Linked DNA regions of Saccharomyces cerevisiae S288C. The main gene of each other region encodes a partner of the protein of the gene in region 3 in a complex. Each region holds a gene or a part of one and is shown on either strand. Other genes may lie near its edges. The genes, in order: RPC53, RPC31, RPC82 and RPC34. A codon is read from its position in the direction of its gene.

Region 1 (5,017 bases), on a different chromosome or scaffold from region 3:
AGCATTCTTATGAGCCTCTTTACGAGATATTTTCTTGTCTTGTTTACCTCTCTGAACCTGTTGATAATAATCGTTCTCGCCTTGAGTGTTGATGCTCCTAGACACAGCTTCATCTTCAGAACCGTAATCCTTATCGTCTAGGTCAGCACCATTATTATCATGCATACCACGTTTACGAGCTTCATCCAACAGACGTTGCTGCCTTTCAAATAAACGTTCCTTATATGGAATATCATCATCACCTTTGAATCTATCCGTCTTTTTATTTTCTTGTTGATCAATTTTCGAAGTATAGAAACGCAAAGTTCTTCTACGAGCTTTTTTGTCTTGTGCGTCCACATCAGCAATCTCAGATTCAATGAAATCATCAGCTTCAGGCATTGATGATGTTTTCGGTTTAGAATGCAGACGTGATTGTGCTACGTACTCTTCAAAATCGTCAATATCAACATCTTCTTCTTCTTCTTCTTCATCGCTTTCTCTTTCTTCTTCATCAATTTCTTGCTTTTGTTTTCCTCCATCCTCTGCATCAGAATCTTCACTGTTTTGCAACTCATTCAGCTTCTTTTCGTTAAAGGCCTCAATGTTTGCGGTTTCTTCACTTTCAGAACCATCTCCTTCATTCACATCAAAACTAGATGGCAATTCGCTGGCTTGCCTCCAAATCTCTTTTGTCGTTAAAATCTTTTCCATGACCGGATGTCCCTTCATAGATGTGAAATCTTCATTATTATGGAGTTCGTGCAACAAGATACTATAGTAACATGATATTGTGCCTAGGTAACTTCCAAGTGCAATTAGCTTTAATTTATTGAACTCATTTTCCTCAGATTTCTTTAATTCGTCAAACTTTGGAGCTAATTCTGTGAATTCTTTTGAAAGTGGAGCAAATTCAGGAAACATTGTCCTTAAATAGTTATCCCTTGCTTCGTCATCCATATTTAGAATATCCGTTATGGAAGTTTTAGTATCAGCCTGCTTGGTCGAGTTCTTAAATTCACCCATGTCAAATTCTTTGGCACTTTTGACCCACTCTTCTTCTTCTTCTTCATCTAAGTAATCGTTCATATTAAGTTCTTCCAGATGCTTCTTTTGTTGTCGTAAAGCTTCCTTTTCTATTTCCTTAGCAGCTTCGTCATCATCTAAATCATCAGCCCCATAATATTCTCCTTTTGTGGACCCCCAGGCATTCTCGTTGTCTAACATACCATTCTCTTCATCTTCCTCAGGAAGCTGGTCAGTTTCTAAGTTTCTACCAAATATTTTCTTATAGGCTGCAGCACCATCTAGTTCCTCTTCCTCTTCTTCTTCCTCATCTTCTCTTTCATCTATTGACTCATCATCTTCATCCATGGCTAAGACTTCTTCCTCATCTTCGTCTTCTAACAGAGAATGGTCATCATCTTTATTACTGTCGCCAAAGGTGGATTGTCCAAGTAAAACCTTTTCCCTTTTAGAAGCAAAATCATCAACTTCGTTTAAACCATACGGATTAATCTCATCCCCAACTTCAGAGGTCTTAGTTCTGTTTGAGCCTTTGCGTACCATATTATTCTATACACCCACTCTAATATGTTTTCTCTTCCTCCAAAACTTTTTGTATAAAAGCATCAGTGAGATGAGCTATGATGAGATGAGCTTCATTATTGAATTTTTTTTCATTGCAGAAGCGCAGTTTGAAAATTTTTCATCCGCCCTGCAAAGTCCAATTTTTTGATCAGCAGAAGATAATGACCAGAGAATTATGGTATTCAAGAGAACAATTCAAAAGAGGACAGCTAGAAAGATATTGAGGTATTTATAATTTGCTAGACTAACCGAAAGTCGAAGCGTAATCTTGTTTTTTATTAAGCGGGATAGCATTCATTAAGTATGAGCAGTAATAAAGGAAATGGGCGCTTGCCATCATTAAAAGATTCCTCCTCCAATGGAGGAGGATCTGCCAAGCCCTCATTAAAGTTTAAACCAAAAGCAGTTGCAAGAAAGTCCAAGGAAGAAAGAGAAGCAGCTGCGTCCAAAGTAAAGCTAGAGGAGGAATCTAAGAGAGGTAATGACAAGAAACATTTCAATAACAAGAATAAAAGAGTAACCGGCGCTGGCGGCCAGCAAAGGCGAATGGCCAAATACTTAAATAACACACACGTTATCTCTAGCGGTCCATTGGCGGCTGGGAACTTTGTAAGTGAGAAGGGTGATTTGAGAAGAGGATTCATCAAATCAGAAGGAAGCGGGTCATCTCTTGTGCAAAAGGGCCTGGAAACTATTGACAATGGTGCTGAGAGCTCTGAGAATGAGGCAGAAGACGATGATAATGAAGGTGTAGCGTCCAAATCTAAGAAGAAGTTCAATATGGGAAAAGAATTCGAGGCACGCAATCTCATAGAGGACGAAGATGACGGCGAAAGTGAAAAGAGCAGTGACGTCGACATGGATGACGAAGAATGGAGATCTAAACGGATTGAACAGTTATTCCCTGTGAGACCTGTCCGCGTAAGACACGAAGACGTTGAAACTGTCAAAAGAGAAATACAAGAAGCTCTTTCAGAAAAGCCAACTCGTGAACCAACCCCCAGTGTGAAGACAGAGCCTGTCGGAACCGGATTACAATCTTATTTGGAAGAAAGAGAAAGGCAAGTCAATGAGAAACTGGCAGATCTTGGACTTGAAAAGGAGTTTCAATCGGTTGATGGGAAAGAAGCGGCCGCTGAGTTGGAATTATTAAATGCAGATCATCAGCATATATTACGAAAACTAAAGAAAATGAATAATAAACCAGAAAGATTCATGGTATTCCAGTTACCTACTAGGTTACCAGCTTTTGAAAGACCCGCTGTGAAAGAAGAAAAAGAAGACATGGAAACCCAGGCTAGCGACCCTTCAAAGAAGAAGAAGAATATTAAAAAGAAGGACACGAAGGATGCTTTGTCTACTAGAGAACTTGCCGGCAAGGTTGGGTCTATACGGGTTCACAAATCTGGAAAACTTTCCGTGAAAATTGGAAATGTGGTGATGGATATTGGCAAAGGTGCCGAAACCACATTTTTACAAGATGTTATAGCATTAAGTATCGCTGATGATGCATCCTCAGCGGAACTTCTAGGCCGTGTGGACGGTAAAATAGTAGTCACACCTCAAATCTAATCGCACTCGCATCTGTCGAGTATATAAATGAATATACACAGTCATAAATACTTCTAGAACAAATTACACTAATTAAGATGCTTAGATTCCCATTCAAAAGGTACTATTGACGTCTTGTCTTCTACAATTTCTCATCCTCTTTGAACATTGGTAATGTTATTCTAGTTATTGTTACCCAGTTTCGGAACTTTAGGGGAGCCACACTTTAAACAAAAAGAAGCGCCATAACCACCGTGAAGTAATGAGTATCTCACTTTGATAAGAAGACATTTAAGAACAGCCTGAAATATCAAAATCACGGAATTATTAGGTTATGGAGAGAGATGAATACCAGTTACCCAACTCTCATGGGAAGAATACTTTCTTATCGCGAATATTTGGTTTACAATCGGATGAAGTTAATCCTTCTCTTAATAGCCAGGAGATGAGCAACTTCCCTTTACCAGACATAGAGAGAGGCTCATCTTTATTGCATTCTACTAACGACAGCCGCGAAGATGTAGATGAGAATGACTTACGTGTTCCTGAGTCTGACCAAGGCACTAGTACAGAAGAAGAGGATGAAGTAGATGAAGAGCAAGTCCAGGCGTATGCTCCACAGATTAGTGATGGATTGGATGGAGACCACCAGCTAAATTCTGTAACGAGCAAAGAAAATGTACTTGAAACGGAAAAAAGCAATTTAGAAAGACTGGTTGAAGGCTCTACCGATGATTCTGTGCCCAAAGTCGGACAGCTTTCGTCAGAAGAAGAAGAGGATAATGAGTTCATAAATAATGATGGATTTGATGACGATACGCCCCTTTTTCAAAAAAGCAAGATTCATGAATTTAGCTCTAAGAAAAGCAATACTATAGAGGACGGTAAACGACCTTTGTTTTTCAGGCATATCTTACAGAATAACCGCCCTCAACGTGATACCCAAAAGCTATTTACTTCGTCGAACGCCATTCACCATGATAAGGACAAGAGTGCAAATAATGGTCCCCGTAACATTAATGGTAATCAAAAGCATGGCACTAAATACTTTGGTAGTGCTACACAACCTCGGTTTACCGGTTCGCCCTTAAATAATACAAACAGGTTCACTAAATTGTTTCCATTAAGAAAGCCAAATTTACTGAGCAATATATCCGTTTTAAACAATACCCCGGAAGATAGAATCAATACGTTGAGCGTGAAAGAGCGGGCTCTGTGGAAATGGGCAAACGTAGAAAACCTCGATATATTTCTTCAAGATGTTTACAATTATTATCTGGGAAATGGGTTCTATTGCATCATACTGGAAAAAATATTGAATATATGCACTTTGCTTTTTGTTGTTTTTGTTTCTACATATATGGGTCACTGTGTTGACTACTCCAAATTACCGACTAGTCACCGGGTTTCGGATATTATTATCGACAAGTGTTATTCTAATAGTATAACGGGGTTCACAAAGTTTTTCCTTTGGATGTTTTATTTCTTCGTGATTCTCAAAATTGTTCAACTCTACTTTGATGTTCAAAAATTATCAGAATTACAAAACTTTTACAAGTATCTTTTAAATATATCGGATGACGAACTTCAAACTTTGCCCTGGCAAAATGTGATACAGCAGCTAATGTACTTGAAGGATCAAAACGCTATGACGGCAAATGTTGTGGAAGTCAAAGCCAAGAATAGAATCGACGCGCATGACGTTGCCAATAGAATCATGAGAAGAGAAAACTATCTCATAGCACTTTACAATAGCGACATCCTGAATTTATCCTTGCCTATTCCATTATTTAGGACCAACGTTCTGACAAAAACACTAGAATGGAATATTAATTTATGCGTCATGGGCTTTGTGTTCAACGAGTCCGGATTTATTAAACAAAGTATTTTAAAACCT
Region 2 (4,604 bases), on a different chromosome or scaffold from region 3:
CAAAAGGCTATTGGTGTAACTTCGTTGTCTTACGACGAAGATGATGACGATGACGACGAAAATGACGCATTTTATTCTTCCAGCCATAGAGTCTCCCACAACTATAACCAACCGCCCTTACCTCCTATACCGACCAGAGATGATATGTCCAATTATTCAAGTTCGCGCAATACGCCGTTAGTAAGAAGAGATAGACCCTCACGCCTAGATTCCTCTTCGCCTAACTCACATCCTCATCCATCAGGCCTGAATTCTCCAAAACTACCACCTCTACCGACTACTTCGAATTCCAATTTTAATTCGAGGAAGAATTCGATGTCTCCTACAAGAAAAAGACCACCTCCAAGGCTCAGCTAATGACAAGAGAAACATGCTGTTATTGTAATACTAATATTTAAATAGAATTAAGATTTTTAATGTTTACCAAGATTTTTTCTTTTTTAAATTTTATTATTTCAATATGTATACATAAATCTGTTGCGCCCTCACCGCCGATCTAAACCATAAAGAAAAATGCTAATTGTACAAATTCTGCTTTGAAGAATATCCAAAAATATGGTAAAGCGGTATAAATTTTCAACTAAAAGGCGGCCTCTTCATTTGGATCCTCTTCATCACCGTAATCATCATCGTCACCATTGTTGAAATACTTTTCAGCATTATAATCATCATCATCTTCTTCGTCTTCATCTTCTTCGAAATCATCATCCGCCAAATCATCATCTTCTCCTTCGCCTGTTTTACTTCCTTTTGCTGCCCCATCACCCGTCGACGCATCATCCACATCTTCTGCCAACTCCTTTAACTTTGCCAGCATGGATAGTCCGATGTTTTCATCTTGTAAACCTGTACCAGTAAAAACATCATCGGCATTATTAAACTTGGAGATTGCCAATAATTTTTTCTTGTTGATCCCCATTACATTGTACAATTCATTGGGAAAGAGGTTCAAATTATACGGATGATCATCAATAGAAATACCTATTTTCCTTTTTTTCAAATATTTATCGGAATATCTTTCAATGCCATCATTAGTATCGTCTTCGTCTAGGATTATGTTGGGTTTGCGTTTACCGCTCTTGCTGTTTTCCTGTTGATCTATTATCAAGCTCATTGATCCGGTATAAAATGGGCCATCTTTAACAGTCTTTCCAAAATTGATGTACTTTACTGCTAAAGATCTTTCCTTATTTGTTATAGGACCATTGATGGGCAATGGGATGGATGGAAATTCCGTAATATGATTTTTGCCTACATCTCCATAACCTAATCCGAAGGGTAGATTGCTCATATAGTTGCTCCCGCCACCTCTACTGCCGCCCCTATAAGAACTCATGTTTGTTCGGGGTATATATGCTCGGTACTATCAAGTTACAATATCTTTCTGTCGTGTTGTTTTCTATAGGTTGCTGCGATGAGGAAACTATTTTCTTCTTTGAGATTTTTTCAAATTTCTCTTCATTTTTCATGCGGCCGCACAAGAGTTGAAACCACTGACGAAAGCAATTTCAGTTCATTGAGTTACACCTAGCGAGGCACTTCTTTGTGGAATGGTAGCCATTGTATTGAGATTTTTCTTGTCGACCATCAGCCTTTTTCTTCATAAGAGAAAAGAAGATCTCGTTCATGACTGCTAATTACTTTGAACGATCACCTCTGCAATGTGACATTTGTTCGAAAGCCGCCCATTAGTATTGAAAATAATTTATATTTTCAATTGGCTAGACTACGAAATTTGGACAAGCCATTGCTGCGTAATCCTTTCTCTTCTACGTCACAGTACATCTCTTTAAACCTTTTCGTTTCTCGGCTGTTTAAGGAAAGTATCGTCTTGCCGTATCTACATAAATCAATTCTTACCCATTTTCTTTTGCATTCTAGCCGTTAATTCACGGCTTAGTCGTTTGATATCGTGTTTGAATTGTGAATTGCATCATTCATGCGGAATGGGAATCATCGCAGTCGTTATCCGTCTCACAAACGTCGGCATTTGCTGACTATTAAGGCGACACGTAACCTACAAACTCAATTTGAGACGCAAACGCAAGTTGATTAGACGTTGAGAATGATGCAAGTAGCAACATCGGTAATGGTTAGACTATTTTATCAGAAAACTATAGAAAAACTAAAAACAAAACAATGTCACAATGACAAAGAGGAACCCATACATACACAGAGAGCCTATTCTTCCAGTAGTTCCTCAATATCAGCATCACTATCTGGGTCCAACCCTTGGTTTCTTCTCTTAGCCTCTTCCAAAGCGTTTTCAAACAACTCCTGTTGTCTTTTAACTCTTCTTCTAGTTTTCTTACCCCAACCGAAAGAAGTTGTTTCTGCTGTTGCAGCATCATCTGGCTTGTCGATCAGGTCTTTTGATCTCTTTTCCTCTTTGTCTCGTTTGTCCTTTTCCACTTGGGCAGCCAACTGCTTCTTCGCCAATTCCCTGGATGCGATATTTCTTAAGAGTAAATAACCACCTACAATTATCACCAATCTTATAAAGTGCTTGTAGTCATAGTTGACTAGTTTTGCCATCCAGGTATCCACCCATGTTTCCGCTACTTCAGACATCTCTTTCAATTACTCGGCAGTTTTTCTCTTCATAACATCTTTTCCTCATACAAACCGCCGAGTGCACATAAATACAACTACAAATAATAATATGTTGACATCGGATGGAGATCACTAACTAAACCGCCACCGCGCTAATTCTGCACAAATTCAAATTTCATCATCGCTCTCCACGTCATCATGGACGTCTTCCACCTCGGCGGATTCTTCGTCTTTTGATAGAATTTCCACAGCCCGCGGACGCACAAACGATCCGTGACCCGGCGCCACAGGCCCAAACAGTGTTACCCCATTTATGCGCCCATCGTTTTTGCCTGCGGCTTCCGGGAATTCCACACCGCACCATGTGCCCATCACGTCCAACGGTAGTGGTCCTACGTACCGTAAAATGGCCTCACGTGGAGCGCTCCCGTCTACTGTGACACGACAGTGGCGGCCGATAGCCGCCGTTAATTGCTCTCGGGCATATGCTTCGTCCTGCTTTGCCAGCGCAGCGCGCTGGCTCTGCTGTGCAGCATTAAACCTACCATAGCCGTGAGCCATCTTCCATCGTAATACGGATTGATCCCTTCGCAAATAATCCTCCTCGCTAATTACTTCCATTGAGGGGATTCCTTCCGCTTGCGTGGCCAGCTGGTTAGAGATTGATTGGGCATTAGAGTCTGTAACAACCACAATAAGCTCCTCCTCTCCTTTTAGGAAGTTGGCATCTTCATCCTCATTTGAATAGGCACCCCCCTTTTTAGTACTATATATCTCCTTGTTGTCGTACTGTCTTTTCACAACTATTTCCATATCCTCTGGTTCCACTCCGGTAACATGGTACAATCGGTCCTTGAACTGCCTTAATTTAAGCGAATTTGGTAATTCCTTTTCTGTACGGACCAATTCACTCTCTATGACAACTCTAACCATAGTTTTGCCATGTAATTTTTTTTTCTATCTCTTTATTTGAATTCGTTGCTCTATGTTCTTGTCGCTTGTCTTCTTCAACTGCCGTTTCCCTGCGAGCCGGAAAAAAGTACTGTTCTTTCGAACAAAGGCGAAAAAAGCTGTAGCTGAAAACAGACAACTGGGAAACGACAATTAAGAATACGCATGTACGTGTATACTACTACAGTAAAAAAGAAAGTTATTTGAGAGCAGCACTTTGTTTACTACACAGAACATTAACCAAAAAAACATGCATCAGCAACACTCCGTATGTTTCACTTCTTATTTTCTTCCGTGGCAATAACCTTCCTTTTGACTTATTTATACTAACATTATAATAACTATGTTTCCTTTTTGAACTAAGAAATCAGAGAACAAACCACAACAGCAAAGGAAAAAATTCGAAGGCCCTAAAAGAGAAGCTATTCTGGATTTAGCGAAGTATAAAGATTCTAAAATTCGCGTCAAATTAATGGGTGGTAAATTAGTTATAGGTGTCCTAAAAGGCTATGATCAACTGATGAACTTGGTACTTGATGATACAGTAGAATATATGTCTAATCCTGATGATGAAAACAACACTGAACTGATTTCTAAAAACGCAAGAAAGCTAGGTTTGACCGTCATAAGAGGTACTATTTTGGTCTCTTTAAGTTCCGCCGAAGGTTCTGATGTACTATATATGCAAAAATAGGTTTAATAATATAATCTCATATAAACTCCCTTCCTTACAGTTGAAAACAAAATCAAATCACGGTATGGCATTTCTTTACATATTCTCAATACCTGACTGACATAGTATGCGCTACATAGTTTTGTCCTATTTTTTTTACACCGCGATTTGAAGTCTAAAGCCAGAGAATGAGGAAAAACGAAACAAACTGAGATCATTTGTATAAGGGGAGTCACTGTACAGCTGCCAATACCAATTTTCCTTCTGCCAAATCAAAAAAGTATCCGCATACACATACACCCCTCCCTCTACAATCTTAATTATTTACTGATTCCTTTCGTATTTGTCCAGTATGAGCAATACTAAGCATACCACTTCTCATCACATGGAACTCAAAAGGATCATTATCCTTACACTTTTATTCATA
Region 3 (5,816 bases):
AGACCCCTCGTCCTAGAGCAGCCCAGGCCCAAAGAATTGGCAAAGAGGACTTCACCAGGTGTCATGGCGCTTGCAGCGCCTCCAGCGGCCATTCCAGCAACAATCTGCGAAACCCACATAACGACACATCTTGTAGGAGAGACGGCTCTCGCCAAGCACAGCGAAAGCGACATAGCAGGATTCAAAGCCCCACCAGAGACACCGGCAAAACACCAGATAGAAAACATGACGGAAAATCCGAAACCGATGGCAATCATAATCAATTGACCCGGATGGGAACCGTCAGGCGCTGCAACGAGTGCGACATCATGGTTAGCGACATTGCAGATAACGTAAGCGCACCATAAAAACATGAATGTGCCGCAGAACTCACCGACCGCAGCGATAAAGTGGTCTCTCAGGGTGTCCCTAGAGATTTTAAAGCGATGGTGCTTTGTTTCCGGCTGCTCCGGAGGGATGTAGGCGTCGTCCACACCGGTAGGATCCAGACGTGTATGTTGCTTGTCGGTATCGTTCGAATCGTTCGAAGACATGTTATAGTTAATTACATGTTACTTTATGTGCCGTATTGACAGACAGCACCAAATACAAAGAATAAAAAAAGAGAAGGAAAAAAAAAACAAAATATCAAAAGGACAAGACGAATTGTGGGAATCGACACTCGGAAGAACAGACAGAATGCGATGCAGGGAAAAGCACTGCGCTTAATATACCTCGAATTCAAACGGCATATCACACAATTTCCGACGTAAAATATTTTTCCTTCTTTCTTTTCCTTGTCGCGTATATGCTATCCTGCAATTTACCACTTCTAGACTAATCCTACTGTGTAAGAGGGTGGAAGGACATCAGGCATAAGGAAGTCTATACGAATAAACTTTTCTTCTTTCTAATTCTTGTAAGATTAAGCTTTGAGGGATAAACGACGGCAATAATGAGTTTAAGGCAAGCTTATCGAAGTAATATAAAACGGTGGCCGATGCAGATATTCACTTGGAAAAAAATTAGGGGACGCGTGGGGAGGGCCGGCTTTCATGGCATCCCGATTTACCGTGCAGGAAACAACCTCGCACCCTCGGGGCATGACCACCTAACGGAGGAGATTCTGTGCGGGCATTTCTTGGGGTATTTATCGTCGACAACCGGCGTTGTTAGGACGGGAGAAAGTATGTTTTAAGTTTGCATTCCTGAGAGGATAAGACGATATCAATTAGTACTACATTCTCCCTTTGTCATTCGGCATGGCGGCGTCCATATCGGCAGTTGCTATGTATCTTACGTAAGTCTGCGTTTTATGTATAGACCTTTTAGTGCTTTTAAGTATCTATATCTGGAAATCGTGGTTCCGTCATGCCCATACTAGCTGGGAGATCTCCGCCTACGGTGCTTTTGCGGTGATGTTCGGCGGAGTGCATCGCGCATAAGCAAACAACCGTTTATTTCAGCCTTGCGTGCTTGAAAATACAGGACCGTTAAATATGTAGATATGTACGCAGAGGCGTGTAAGCCACACAGCATTGTTGTTGCGTAAAAATGAGGGTGAATCGCCTCCTCAAATTACATGCCTTTCTTTTTTTGCCAGGATCGTGAGATGAGACATAAAATAACGTACCACTGAAACTTGACAGAATTGAGGGGTCTAACTATAAACCTGCGGCAAAAGAAGGATTGTATGCTGAAGTAGAAAAAAGGATAATTAAATATATATTTACTAGTATAGTAAGAATTTGGAAAGGGTAAGGAATAAATAATGAGGGATTTTTTTTTGGTCTTACATGTTGTTATTTGAATTTTGTTTGTTTTTATTTTCAATATTTGTGTGAATATTCATTAAAAAAAAGGTGCGCGGCAACATCTATATATATATTTGCCTTTAGTTTTTCGTTTTGTACAAATACTTTCCTCTTACAATTCGTCCAAATATGGCAAGTTGGAAACATCACCGACGGCTACATAGTTGAATTTTCCCAACTTAAAGTCCTTCACGGCGTCAAAATTTAGTTCAATTGGGCTGGAAACAGATTCATTTTGGACGGCATTCTTTAACTTTGTGTAATTTATTGCAGGGGATAAGTCCTTGCCCTTCTTCAAATCCGCAACAATTTTCTTGATGTTGGAAGATACCACGGCGCTGTCCTGGTCTCTTACAAACAGAGTAAATAGGCCGCCGTCAGTGAATTTATCAAGTTTAGCCGAGCTGATTAAACCGGAAAGCTCGGATAGGGCAGAGGTCAAATAGTTGGCCAATACTTCATATTGAGCTAGGGAGGCTTTGTTTACCGGGATACCAATGGCGGCAACGGAGTCACCGATAAACCTTACCCTGTTTTCTTCACCCAAAAAGAATTTTGGTTCGGATTTACTCACCAATGACTTACCTGCAGGCAAAGTGCTTAACAGTGACTCGTCAACAAATCTTTTCAAATCGGCCTCAACAACATTTTCACCGCTAACTTCAAGGTTCTCCTTGGTATAGACTTTGTCCGCAAAGTCCTTGATATCTTGCAAACTGACTCTTTCCACACCATCGTATAACAATGGGTTTCCTAAACCCTTTCTGAATGTAATGGCATACAATTGGTCTTCGGCGCTCTTTACCGGACATTGTTCAGCGACCGCATAATCGTATCTAGCAGCAGGCAAAACAGATTCGGTGAGCTCGTGAGGTTTGAAGGCAGTCTTGTATAGCACGTCTGCTAGGGCATTGACGTAGTAGGGAAGGTCGTCCTTCAAAAAGGTAGCTTTCAAAGTGATGTATTCCCTATCCAAGGTAGACTTAAAAGTTCCCCCTAATAATTCGGATTCTCTGACTAATTTCAAAGCTGATCTAGTGTTCGTGTTTTGAAAGTTGAATCTGTTTAAAAGATGGGCCACACCATCCTTGGTTGCATAACGAGACCCTCCATGGACCTTAACAGCCAATGTAGATATTTTAGTAGGTGCGTCTCTAGCGGAAACGGTCAACCTTCTAACTGACCCCTGGGCAAATTGCAATCTAGCTGCTGACAACATCAACGTTCTTCTTTTTTCCTTTTAATAATTTTAACTCTCCCGTCCTAATCGTTCGAGCACACTGCTGTTAAAAACCTTATTAACTTCTAAAACTTCGTCAGCAAACGCTCTGAGGAAAGGCCCTTGTTCTTTATATATATATTTGGTAGGCTAACGGATATAAGACGGGGCGGGCCTTCTATTGGTTCGTTGGGAATGATCAGAAATTTTTCAAAAGCTCATCGCATTGAAGGAAAAAAATAATTTTGGATCAAAATAATAATAGTGGAAGAAATATTGAGAACAATAGAGAATTGCTGACACAGGAATAGGGAAAAATTTTTGTTGAGCAAGATCCAAATGGACGAGTTACTGGGAGAAGCGCTTAGTGCAGAGAACCAAACAGGTGAGAGCACTGTCGAATCTGAGAAGTTGGTCACCCCCGAAGATGTTATGACCATATCATCCTTGGAACAGAGAACCTTGAATCCCGATTTGTTTCTTTACAAAGAGTTGGTGAAGGCACATCTGGGTGAAAGAGCAGCTTCTGTAATTGGGATGTTGGTTGCGCTGGGCAGATTGAGTGTGCGCGAGTTAGTGGAGAAAATAGATGGTATGGATGTAGACAGCGTCAAGACGACACTAGTCTCATTAACTCAATTAAGGTGTGTTAAGTACCTGCAAGAAACAGCAATATCCGGGAAAAAAACGACTTATTATTACTATAACGAGGAAGGGATACACATTTTACTCTACTCAGGGTTGATTATTGACGAAATTATTACGCAAATGCGTGTAAACGACGAAGAGGAGCATAAACAGCTGGTGGCTGAAATTGTACAAAACGTTATATCATTAGGGTCCTTAACAGTGGAAGATTATCTAAGTAGTGTCACGTCAGATTCCATGAAGTACACCATTTCATCACTATTCGTGCAACTGTGTGAAATGGGATATCTTATTCAAATATCAAAATTGCATTATACCCCAATCGAAGATCTCTGGCAATTTTTATATGAAAAACATTACAAAAATATTCCCAGAAACTCCCCGTTGTCCGATTTGAAGAAAAGATCCCAAGCCAAGATGAATGCGAAAACTGATTTTGCCAAAATCATAAATAAACCAAATGAGCTTTCACAAATCTTAACGGTTGATCCAAAGACCTCATTGAGGATTGTTAAACCTACAGTCTCTCTGACGATTAATTTGGATAGATTTATGAAAGGTAGAAGATCTAAACAATTGATTAACTTGGCCAAGACAAGAGTCGGCTCCGTCACAGCTCAAGTTTACAAAATTGCATTAAGACTCACAGAGCAAAAGTCTCCTAAAATTAGAGATCCACTAACTCAAACTGGGCTTTTACAAGATTTGGAGGAAGCAAAATCGTTTCAAGACGAAGCCGAACTTGTTGAGGAGAAGACACCAGGGCTTACCTTTAATGCTATTGACTTGGCAAGACATCTCCCCGCAGAATTGGACTTGCGTGGAAGCTTATTATCTAGAAAGCCCTCTGACAATAAAAAGCGTTCTGGCTCAAACGCTGCTGCATCATTACCCAGTAAAAAATTAAAAACCGAAGATGGATTTGTGATCCCGGCGCTACCTGCTGCTGTTTCCAAATCTCTTCAAGAAAGTGGAGATACACAAGAAGAAGACGAAGAGGAGGAGGATTTGGATGCAGACACTGAGGATCCTCACTCAGCTTCTTTGATAAATAGTCATTTAAAAATCCTAGCATCATCAAATTTCCCCTTTTTGAACGAAACCAAACCAGGTGTTTACTATGTTCCATATAGCAAACTAATGCCAGTATTAAAGTCATCTGTTTATGAGTATGTTATCGCGTCTACGTTGGGACCCTCAGCAATGCGTTTAAGCCGTTGTATTCGTGATAACAAGCTGGTGTCTGAGAAAATTATCAACTCAACTGCGTTAATGAAGGAAAAGGATATAAGATCTACATTAGCATCTTTAATTAGATACAATTCTGTGGAAATCCAGGAAGTTCCAAGAACAGCCGATAGATCAGCATCAAGGGCAGTTTTTTTGTTTAGATGCAAAGAAACGCATTCCTATAATTTCATGAGACAAAACTTGGAATGGAATATGGCAAATTTACTTTTTAAAAAGGAGAAATTAAAGCAAGAAAACTCTACATTATTAAAAAAGGCAAATAGAGATGATGTTAAAGGAAGAGAGAACGAACTACTATTACCAAGCGAATTGAATCAATTAAAGATGGTCAATGAAAGAGAGCTAAATGTTTTCGCTCGTTTATCGAGGTTGCTATCGCTTTGGGAAGTTTTCCAAATGGCATGATTACTCTATACAGCTGATAAACTCTGTCTAATAACCTTTTATACTCTATAGAAAAGATAAAATTTATTACTAATGTTACATTAAGGTTTGATTGACTATCTCGAATCCAAATTTTTAGAAACATTCGTTTAGCGCCTTCACTGCAGTAACGTTCCAAGGGCACAAAAACATACCTCTTTGTATGCTTCTCAAATTCTTACTCTCACAATATAGTTTACTCATCTCCTCCGCAGTAACTTTATTTTGTCCATTAGAAGCTATTCTTCGTTGAATATTCTTATCTAATCTCTCCCAAACCTTGAGGTTATTAGGGAAAAAGTACGCACTCCTTTGCCATACTTGTTTACCGGTATCGTTACGATAAAGTCTCTTAGTAATTTCTTCTATCAGATATGGTGCGTCTTTGTGCTTATCTATTATTTGTTTGGATAATGGCAAAGCTTTCAATTCTTCTAAAATAATGCTTAAATCTTCACGCTTATCGTCTAGAATTGACATAG
Region 4 (4,672 bases), on a different chromosome or scaffold from region 3:
AACAACAACATTAGGGATAGTGATGCCTTGGGCTCTTGCATTGAACATGGATAGGACAAACGTAGTGAGGGCAAAACCGGAAAGTCCTAGTGGAGCAGGATTTGCGAATTTATGGACTGGCGCGGGGGCTAAACCGGGATTCAGAGTACCACCGAATGCCTCGAACAAATCATCCCTTAAAAATTTTTGACGGCCGATGTAAATATACTCGTTGTTTTTGCCCGCAGTATATATTTTGCATATGGACTCTTGCGAGTGGCGGCTCTGATCGTTGTTTTCAGAGATGAACTCACCCTCGGAAGAATCGAGTGCCTTAGGGTTCTCAAAAGCGGTGTTGCCGCTGCTTTGTTCTCTGTCAGACATGCCTTTTATTTTTTTCTGTGATTGAAGATTGTTTTTGATTGATCTGTAGAATGTTACATAGTTAGTTATGGCTATTCTAGCTCTAGGTAGGACAGTTCTCCTGCTTTATATATTTTGCTTGTTCAAAGATGATCACGGCTGTTCTCGGAGTGCGTAACTGCTTGAGAGTTAAATCCGTCGAAGTTGCTGATCATTTCCAGAAATGAGGAGACTGTTGATGATCTACTGTGAAATTATTGCGGGGCTGGTAGCATCTACTGTCACTATTATTGCCATGTCGGCTGGTATCGGAGTTCTCCCTCCGCCGATTTAGGATGGAGCCGTTCCAGCCGCGTCCGCTCTTAAGCGTCCGTAATTGGTCAACAAAGCATTTCAGCCGTGGTGATTGGAAGGAAGGTCAGCTTTCCTGTATTGCGTCTCTATCTACTTACAATACGAATGATACATTGAATTACGTACTAGTGTGAGATAGGGGTAGTCAAGAACTTCAAATTGTCCATTCATCGAAATAGACCACTTCCTTGTCGTGTTTTGAAGCCGGAAACATCTTGAAGTAGTTAAAGATGGAAAATTCTTCTTCATCCTCCAAAGCCTTATTACCTGCCTCCGGCTCGCCCTCACCTTGGTTCATTTGTAGAATGCTCTCTAAGGTCACTCTATAGCAGTCATGCGTGACTTTTTCCAGCTTGTCGTCGTACACTAAGACTTCACACAAAGATCTGATATTTGAAGGGGTTAACTCGACATTGGCCACTTGTGCCGCTGTAATAAATTCCAAAATTTCTTGTGTGGTAGAGTAATTTTTTACGTTTGGAGCATAAAAGACGTTTTTTTTGGGTCCATTTTCGAAATTCTTGAAGCCATTAGGGAAGGTGTTCTCTGATATGAACCTCCAAACAATAGTCAATAAACTATTGATAAATTCTATATCCAGCTCTCCATCTGTGAACCATGGACCTCCTGTGATGTCCACAGAGGGTTGTAAGCTGTACAACATGTAGATTTTCCTTGTGGGAAACTTTACACTCTTAACACTCTTCACGTATCTTTGGGATTCTAAACTCTTCAAGCATTTAAGAACTACATGCTGATGGAGATTGGTTCTTGCCTTGATAGTCTTGGACCATATCCCTTCTCTACCGCTAGCCTCGATATAAGAATATACCAGTGCCTCTTCAGCCGACATGGTGGCTTTCTTTTGCGCCTCAGATTCTAAGACACCTTGAAATTTTAATTCGTCGTTTTGTTTTACTAATTTGATCAAGTTCTTGTCTAGCAATTCCTGTACAATGGACATCAAGTCTGTTAACGACCCGATTCCCATTTGTTTTTGGAGTTCTTGCTGTGTAAATAATGCGCCTATTCCTTTCGACATCATCTGGCTATGTAAGGTTTTAGCATTGTCCGATAGCTGTAACCCATTTTCTATCATTCCACTCATATTCAGGATATTGGCGCTGTAAATTCTTCACTTGATTAAGATTTTCTGTAATGATCTCATCTCACAAATACATCGCAAATCAACTTGAAAATTTTTAATACAATAAAAGATTTGAAGGAAAAAAAAAGTGCCTGTGCGCGATGTTACTTAAAAACAAAAAGATTAAATAATTGCAATATCATCTAGTTGGATTCTAAATATACTACCAAACAAGGGCTTAAACATTTTAATAAACGATTTACATATTTACTGTGGGTATGGCAATGGGTGAGCGTAGGTATGCTACGGTAGGCGATGTAGTGAGTAGTGCGGACGAACCGTAGCCGTAACGTTTAATGCCCCCTGCCTTTTCTTCTCAATTGCTCACATGTAAGCAAAGTCTTCCAAGAATCTGGTTTTACTCGTAGCCTTTTAACGCTGTTTTTTTTTTTTGCACACCTTTAAAACCTATAGAAACTCCTTCATATAAAATGTACTAGTTATAAGATGACTTTTTATATTCAAAATTAGAAGAAAACTTAACTAAAATTAAAAAAATAGCGGCTATTAAAAGGTATTAAAAAGTGAGAAAAAAAGAAAAAAATTATAAACTTGAGAAATCAAAGGAGACTAAATGCATAAGCAAAGAGAAGAGGATCTCCTCGGATGATAGATTTATACAATTACTCTAACTTAGAAGGTTTACTAGACGGATTAACGGACTTGAATCGAATTCCGAAGGAATACTCCGCAGTATTGGAGCCATATTTTCAGAATATAGCAAGAAATGCACATTTAAAGTCTAGAGCTCTAAAAATTTGTCGTTCTAATTTCCATAAATGGAACGAAGAAGGTGCGAAGACAGTCAATCCGGAAATTATAAGAAGATGCCTTAACCTGTGGTATGTTTTGAAGGGCAAGGAATATAAAAAGTTGAAGGATCCTCCGCCTGCTGATAATATCATTAAGGATGAGATTGATGTCTCATATGTTAAGAATTTGAATGTAGTCAGGTTGGAATTTGACGAATTTGGTAAACTCATAAGTAATCCATTAGAGAATTTGATCTTGGAAGAGGTCGAAGTGAATGATTTCATACAAGAATAAACCTAAAGTGTGTTCACTCATCTAATATGCACGGAGCCTACCTTTTAGCTTTTGCTGCCAAACTAAACCAAGATTGAAAGATATATAATCGACTATCTTTCGTCTCGTAATCTGTATCATGCAATTTAAATTAATTATCAACATAAAATGCTCTAGTTAGCACGCGCATATCCAGGAAAGTTCACCAGTAACTATGTACTAGACAAAAGCAAACTGTTCGGAGCGACCATACACCATATGTTGTTGAATCAACTTTTCTTAAGGCTCTTTCGAGTTCATCATTAACCAACCTAGGTATTTTCCCGATTTTTTGGTAATATGTCAAAACAGCTACTTTGTATACATTTATAGACGCCTGGTGTCCTTTGAGCCTCACTTATATAAAGTAACCTTCACAAGATTTTGGATTTTGGTAATACATACGCTACTGCTATTTCTTGCGGAGCAGCAGAATCATCTTGCTCGGCCTCCTTTTCTGAAAATTTCGATGATACCTGAAATAATCATCATTAGCAGAGGGAATTTAAAAATAGAGGGTGTAAAATTATCAAGATTTTTTTTTGCTAAGGTGAATGAGTAGTGAGTAAAGAACTAAGAACAGTATGTCCGTTAGCACGCCAAGTGAGTTAGACGCATTAATAGAACAAGCCACTAGTGAGAGCATTCCCAACGGTGACCTTGATCTCCCCATAGCGTTGGAAATTTCAGATGTGTTAAGATCTAGAAGGGTAAATCCCAAAGATTCTATGCGTTGTATAAAGAAAAGGATTCTCAATACGGCCGATAATCCAAATACCCAATTGTCTTCCTGGAAGCTTACCAATATATGTGTAAAAAATGGTGGAACGCCTTTTATTAAGGAAATTTGTTCCAGAGAGTTCATGGATACCATGGAACATGTCATTTTAAGAGAAGATAGCAACGAAGAACTTTCTGAGCTGGTAAAGACCATATTATATGAACTATACGTAGCCTTCAAAAATGATTCGCAACTTAACTATGTGGCAAAAGTTTATGATAAATTAATCTCTCGTGGCATTAAATTCCCTGAAAAGCTAACACTTTCCAATTCTCCGACTGCAATGTTTGACTCGAAGACGCCCGCAGATTGGATTGATTCTGATGCTTGTATGATTTGCTCCAAAAAGTTTTCTCTACTAAATAGGAAACATCACTGTCGTTCCTGTGGTGGAGTTTTCTGCCAAGAACACTCATCAAATAGTATACCCTTACCTGATTTGGGTATATATGAGCCAGTCAGAGTATGTGATAGCTGCTTTGAAGATTACGATTTGAAGAGACATGACGACAGTAAAAAATCTAAAAAACATCGCCATAAAAGAAAGAAGGACAGGGACTACTCAACTCCTGAGGATGAAGAAGAGCTGATAAGGAAAGCAATAGAACTCTCCTTGAAAGAATCTAGAAATAGCGCTAGTAGCGAGCCTATTGTCCCCGTTGTAGAATCAAAGAATGAGGTGAAGAGACAAGAAATAGAAGAAGAAGAAGATCCTGATTTAAAAGCTGCTATTCAGGAAAGCTTGAGAGAAGCTGAAGAAGCGAAGCTACGCAGTGAGCGTCAAAAAGCCTCTAGACAGATGCAACCCCAACAGCCATCACCTCAACCTCAACCTATCCATTCCGTTGATTTATCTGATGAGGAGAAAGACAGCATATACATGTTTGCTTCACTTGTCGAAAAAATGAAATCGAGGCCCTTGAACGAAATTTTGGAAGACTCTAAATTACAAAACTTGGCTCAAAGAGTATTTGCTTCCAAAG

Evidence for each region.
Region 1: RPC82 (region 3) and RPC53 share a complex: the UniProt entries of both Saccharomyces cerevisiae proteins name them as parts of the RNA polymerase III (Pol III) complex.
Region 2: the proteins of RPC82 (region 3) and RPC31 are in contact, whole or in part, in a cryo-EM structure (PDB 7Z31), measured with the Saccharomyces cerevisiae proteins. Residues at the interface, in NP_015516.1 of Saccharomyces cerevisiae: Leu25 (codon at 3,424), Val26 (codon at 3,427), Ile34 (codon at 3,451), Ser35 (codon at 3,454), Lys54 (codon at 3,511), Ala55 (codon at 3,514), His56 (codon at 3,517), Leu57 (codon at 3,520), Gly58 (codon at 3,523), Glu59 (codon at 3,526), Arg60 (codon at 3,529), Ala61 (codon at 3,532), Asp89 (codon at 3,616), Lys92 (codon at 3,625), Thr93 (codon at 3,628), Thr94 (codon at 3,631), Leu95 (codon at 3,634), Val96 (codon at 3,637), Ser97 (codon at 3,640), Thr99 (codon at 3,646), Gln100 (codon at 3,649), Leu101 (codon at 3,652), Tyr106 (codon at 3,667), Gln108 (codon at 3,673), Thr118 (codon at 3,703), Tyr120 (codon at 3,709), Leu130 (codon at 3,739), Leu131 (codon at 3,742), Tyr132 (codon at 3,745), Ser133 (codon at 3,748); in NP_014248.3 of Saccharomyces cerevisiae: His32 (codon at 1,243), Glu35 (codon at 1,234), Ile39 (codon at 1,222), Leu41 (codon at 1,216), Pro42 (codon at 1,213), Ile43 (codon at 1,210), Asn44 (codon at 1,207), Gly45 (codon at 1,204), Pro46 (codon at 1,201), Ile47 (codon at 1,198), Glu51 (codon at 1,186), Arg52 (codon at 1,183), Leu54 (codon at 1,177), Ala55 (codon at 1,174), Lys57 (codon at 1,168), Tyr58 (codon at 1,165), Ile59 (codon at 1,162), Asn60 (codon at 1,159), Phe61 (codon at 1,156), Gly62 (codon at 1,153), Lys63 (codon at 1,150), Thr64 (codon at 1,147), Val65 (codon at 1,144), Lys66 (codon at 1,141), Phe70 (codon at 1,129), Tyr71 (codon at 1,126), Thr72 (codon at 1,123), Gly73 (codon at 1,120), Ser74 (codon at 1,117), Met75 (codon at 1,114).
Region 4: the proteins of RPC82 (region 3) and RPC34 are in contact, whole or in part, in a cryo-EM structure (PDB 7Z0H), measured with the Saccharomyces cerevisiae proteins. Residues at the interface, in NP_015516.1 of Saccharomyces cerevisiae: Ser35 (codon at 3,454), Arg40 (codon at 3,469), Asn298 (codon at 4,243), Leu299 (codon at 4,246), Thr302 (codon at 4,255), Arg303 (codon at 4,258), Val304 (codon at 4,261), Gly305 (codon at 4,264), Ser306 (codon at 4,267), Val307 (codon at 4,270), Thr308 (codon at 4,273), Gly378 (codon at 4,483), Ser379 (codon at 4,486), Leu380 (codon at 4,489), Leu381 (codon at 4,492), Ser382 (codon at 4,495), Arg383 (codon at 4,498), Lys384 (codon at 4,501), Ser455 (codon at 4,714), Lys458 (codon at 4,723), Ile459 (codon at 4,726), Asn464 (codon at 4,741), Ser490 (codon at 4,819), Val491 (codon at 4,822), Tyr494 (codon at 4,831), Val495 (codon at 4,834), Ala497 (codon at 4,840), Ser498 (codon at 4,843), Thr499 (codon at 4,846), Pro502 (codon at 4,855); in NP_014400.1 of Saccharomyces cerevisiae: Trp164 (codon at 1,315), Leu170 (codon at 1,297), Ile172 (codon at 1,291), Ile175 (codon at 1,282), Asn176 (codon at 1,279), Leu179 (codon at 1,270), Asn189 (codon at 1,240), Pro192 (codon at 1,231), Pro202 (codon at 1,201), Lys203 (codon at 1,198), Lys204 (codon at 1,195), Asn205 (codon at 1,192), Val206 (codon at 1,189), Phe207 (codon at 1,186), Tyr208 (codon at 1,183), Ala209 (codon at 1,180), Pro210 (codon at 1,177), Val212 (codon at 1,171), Glu245 (codon at 1,072), Val246 (codon at 1,069), Val248 (codon at 1,063), Tyr249 (codon at 1,060), Asp250 (codon at 1,057), Asp251 (codon at 1,054), Glu254 (codon at 1,045), Val256 (codon at 1,039), Thr264 (codon at 1,015), Leu265 (codon at 1,012), Ile268 (codon at 1,003), Leu269 (codon at 1,000).

What each region holds. Positions count from the first base shown.
Region 1 is NC_001136.10:181,471-186,487, forward strand, and holds RPC53 (DNA-directed RNA polymerase III subunit C53), read left to right. Parts: upstream 1-1,872; coding exon 1,873-3,141; downstream 3,142-5,017. Other genes in the region: rRNA-processing protein SAS10, read right to left, coding at 1-1,548; autophagy protein ATG9, read left to right, coding at 3,455-5,017. UniProt on the Saccharomyces cerevisiae protein: DNA-dependent RNA polymerase catalyzes the transcription of DNA into RNA using the four ribonucleoside triphosphates as substrates. Specific peripheric component of RNA polymerase III which synthesizes small RNAs, such as 5S rRNA and tRNAs.
Region 2 is NC_001146.8:347,186-351,789, forward strand, and holds RPC31 (DNA-directed RNA polymerase III subunit C31), read right to left. Parts: upstream 1,337-4,604; coding exon 581-1,336; downstream 1-580. Other genes in the region: INN1 (Inn1p), read left to right, coding at 1-357; PGA2 (Pga2p), read right to left, coding at 2,182-2,571; ALF1 (Alf1p), read right to left, coding at 2,722-3,486; Sm-like protein LSM7, read left to right, coding at 3,755-3,772, 3,869-4,198; YNL146C-A (uncharacterized protein), read right to left, coding at 4,201-4,395; YNL146W (uncharacterized protein), read left to right, coding at 4,530-4,604. UniProt on the Saccharomyces cerevisiae protein: DNA-dependent RNA polymerase catalyzes the transcription of DNA into RNA using the four ribonucleoside triphosphates as substrates. Specific peripheric component of RNA polymerase III which synthesizes small RNAs, such as 5S rRNA and tRNAs.
Region 3 is NC_001148.4:916,577-922,392, reverse strand, and holds RPC82 (DNA-directed RNA polymerase III subunit C82), read left to right. Parts: upstream 1-3,351; coding exon 3,352-5,316; downstream 5,317-5,816. Other genes in the region: AQY1 (Aqy1p), read right to left, coding at 1-533; QCR2 (ubiquinol--cytochrome-c reductase subunit 2), read right to left, coding at 1,906-3,012; SKI complex subunit tetratricopeptide repeat protein SKI3, read right to left, coding at 5,431-5,816. UniProt on the Saccharomyces cerevisiae protein: DNA-dependent RNA polymerase catalyzes the transcription of DNA into RNA using the four ribonucleoside triphosphates as substrates. Specific core component of RNA polymerase III which synthesizes small RNAs, such as 5S rRNA and tRNAs.
Region 4 is NC_001146.8:633,494-638,165, forward strand, and holds RPC34 (DNA-directed RNA polymerase III subunit C34), read right to left. Parts: upstream 1,805-4,672; coding exon 851-1,804; downstream 1-850. Other genes in the region: putative ammonium permease ATO2, read right to left, coding at 1-363; SWM2 (Swm2p), read left to right, coding at 2,450-2,890; ESCRT-0 subunit protein VPS27, read left to right, coding at 3,493-4,672. UniProt on the Saccharomyces cerevisiae protein: DNA-dependent RNA polymerase catalyzes the transcription of DNA into RNA using the four ribonucleoside triphosphates as substrates. Specific peripheric component of RNA polymerase III which synthesizes small RNAs, such as 5S rRNA and tRNAs.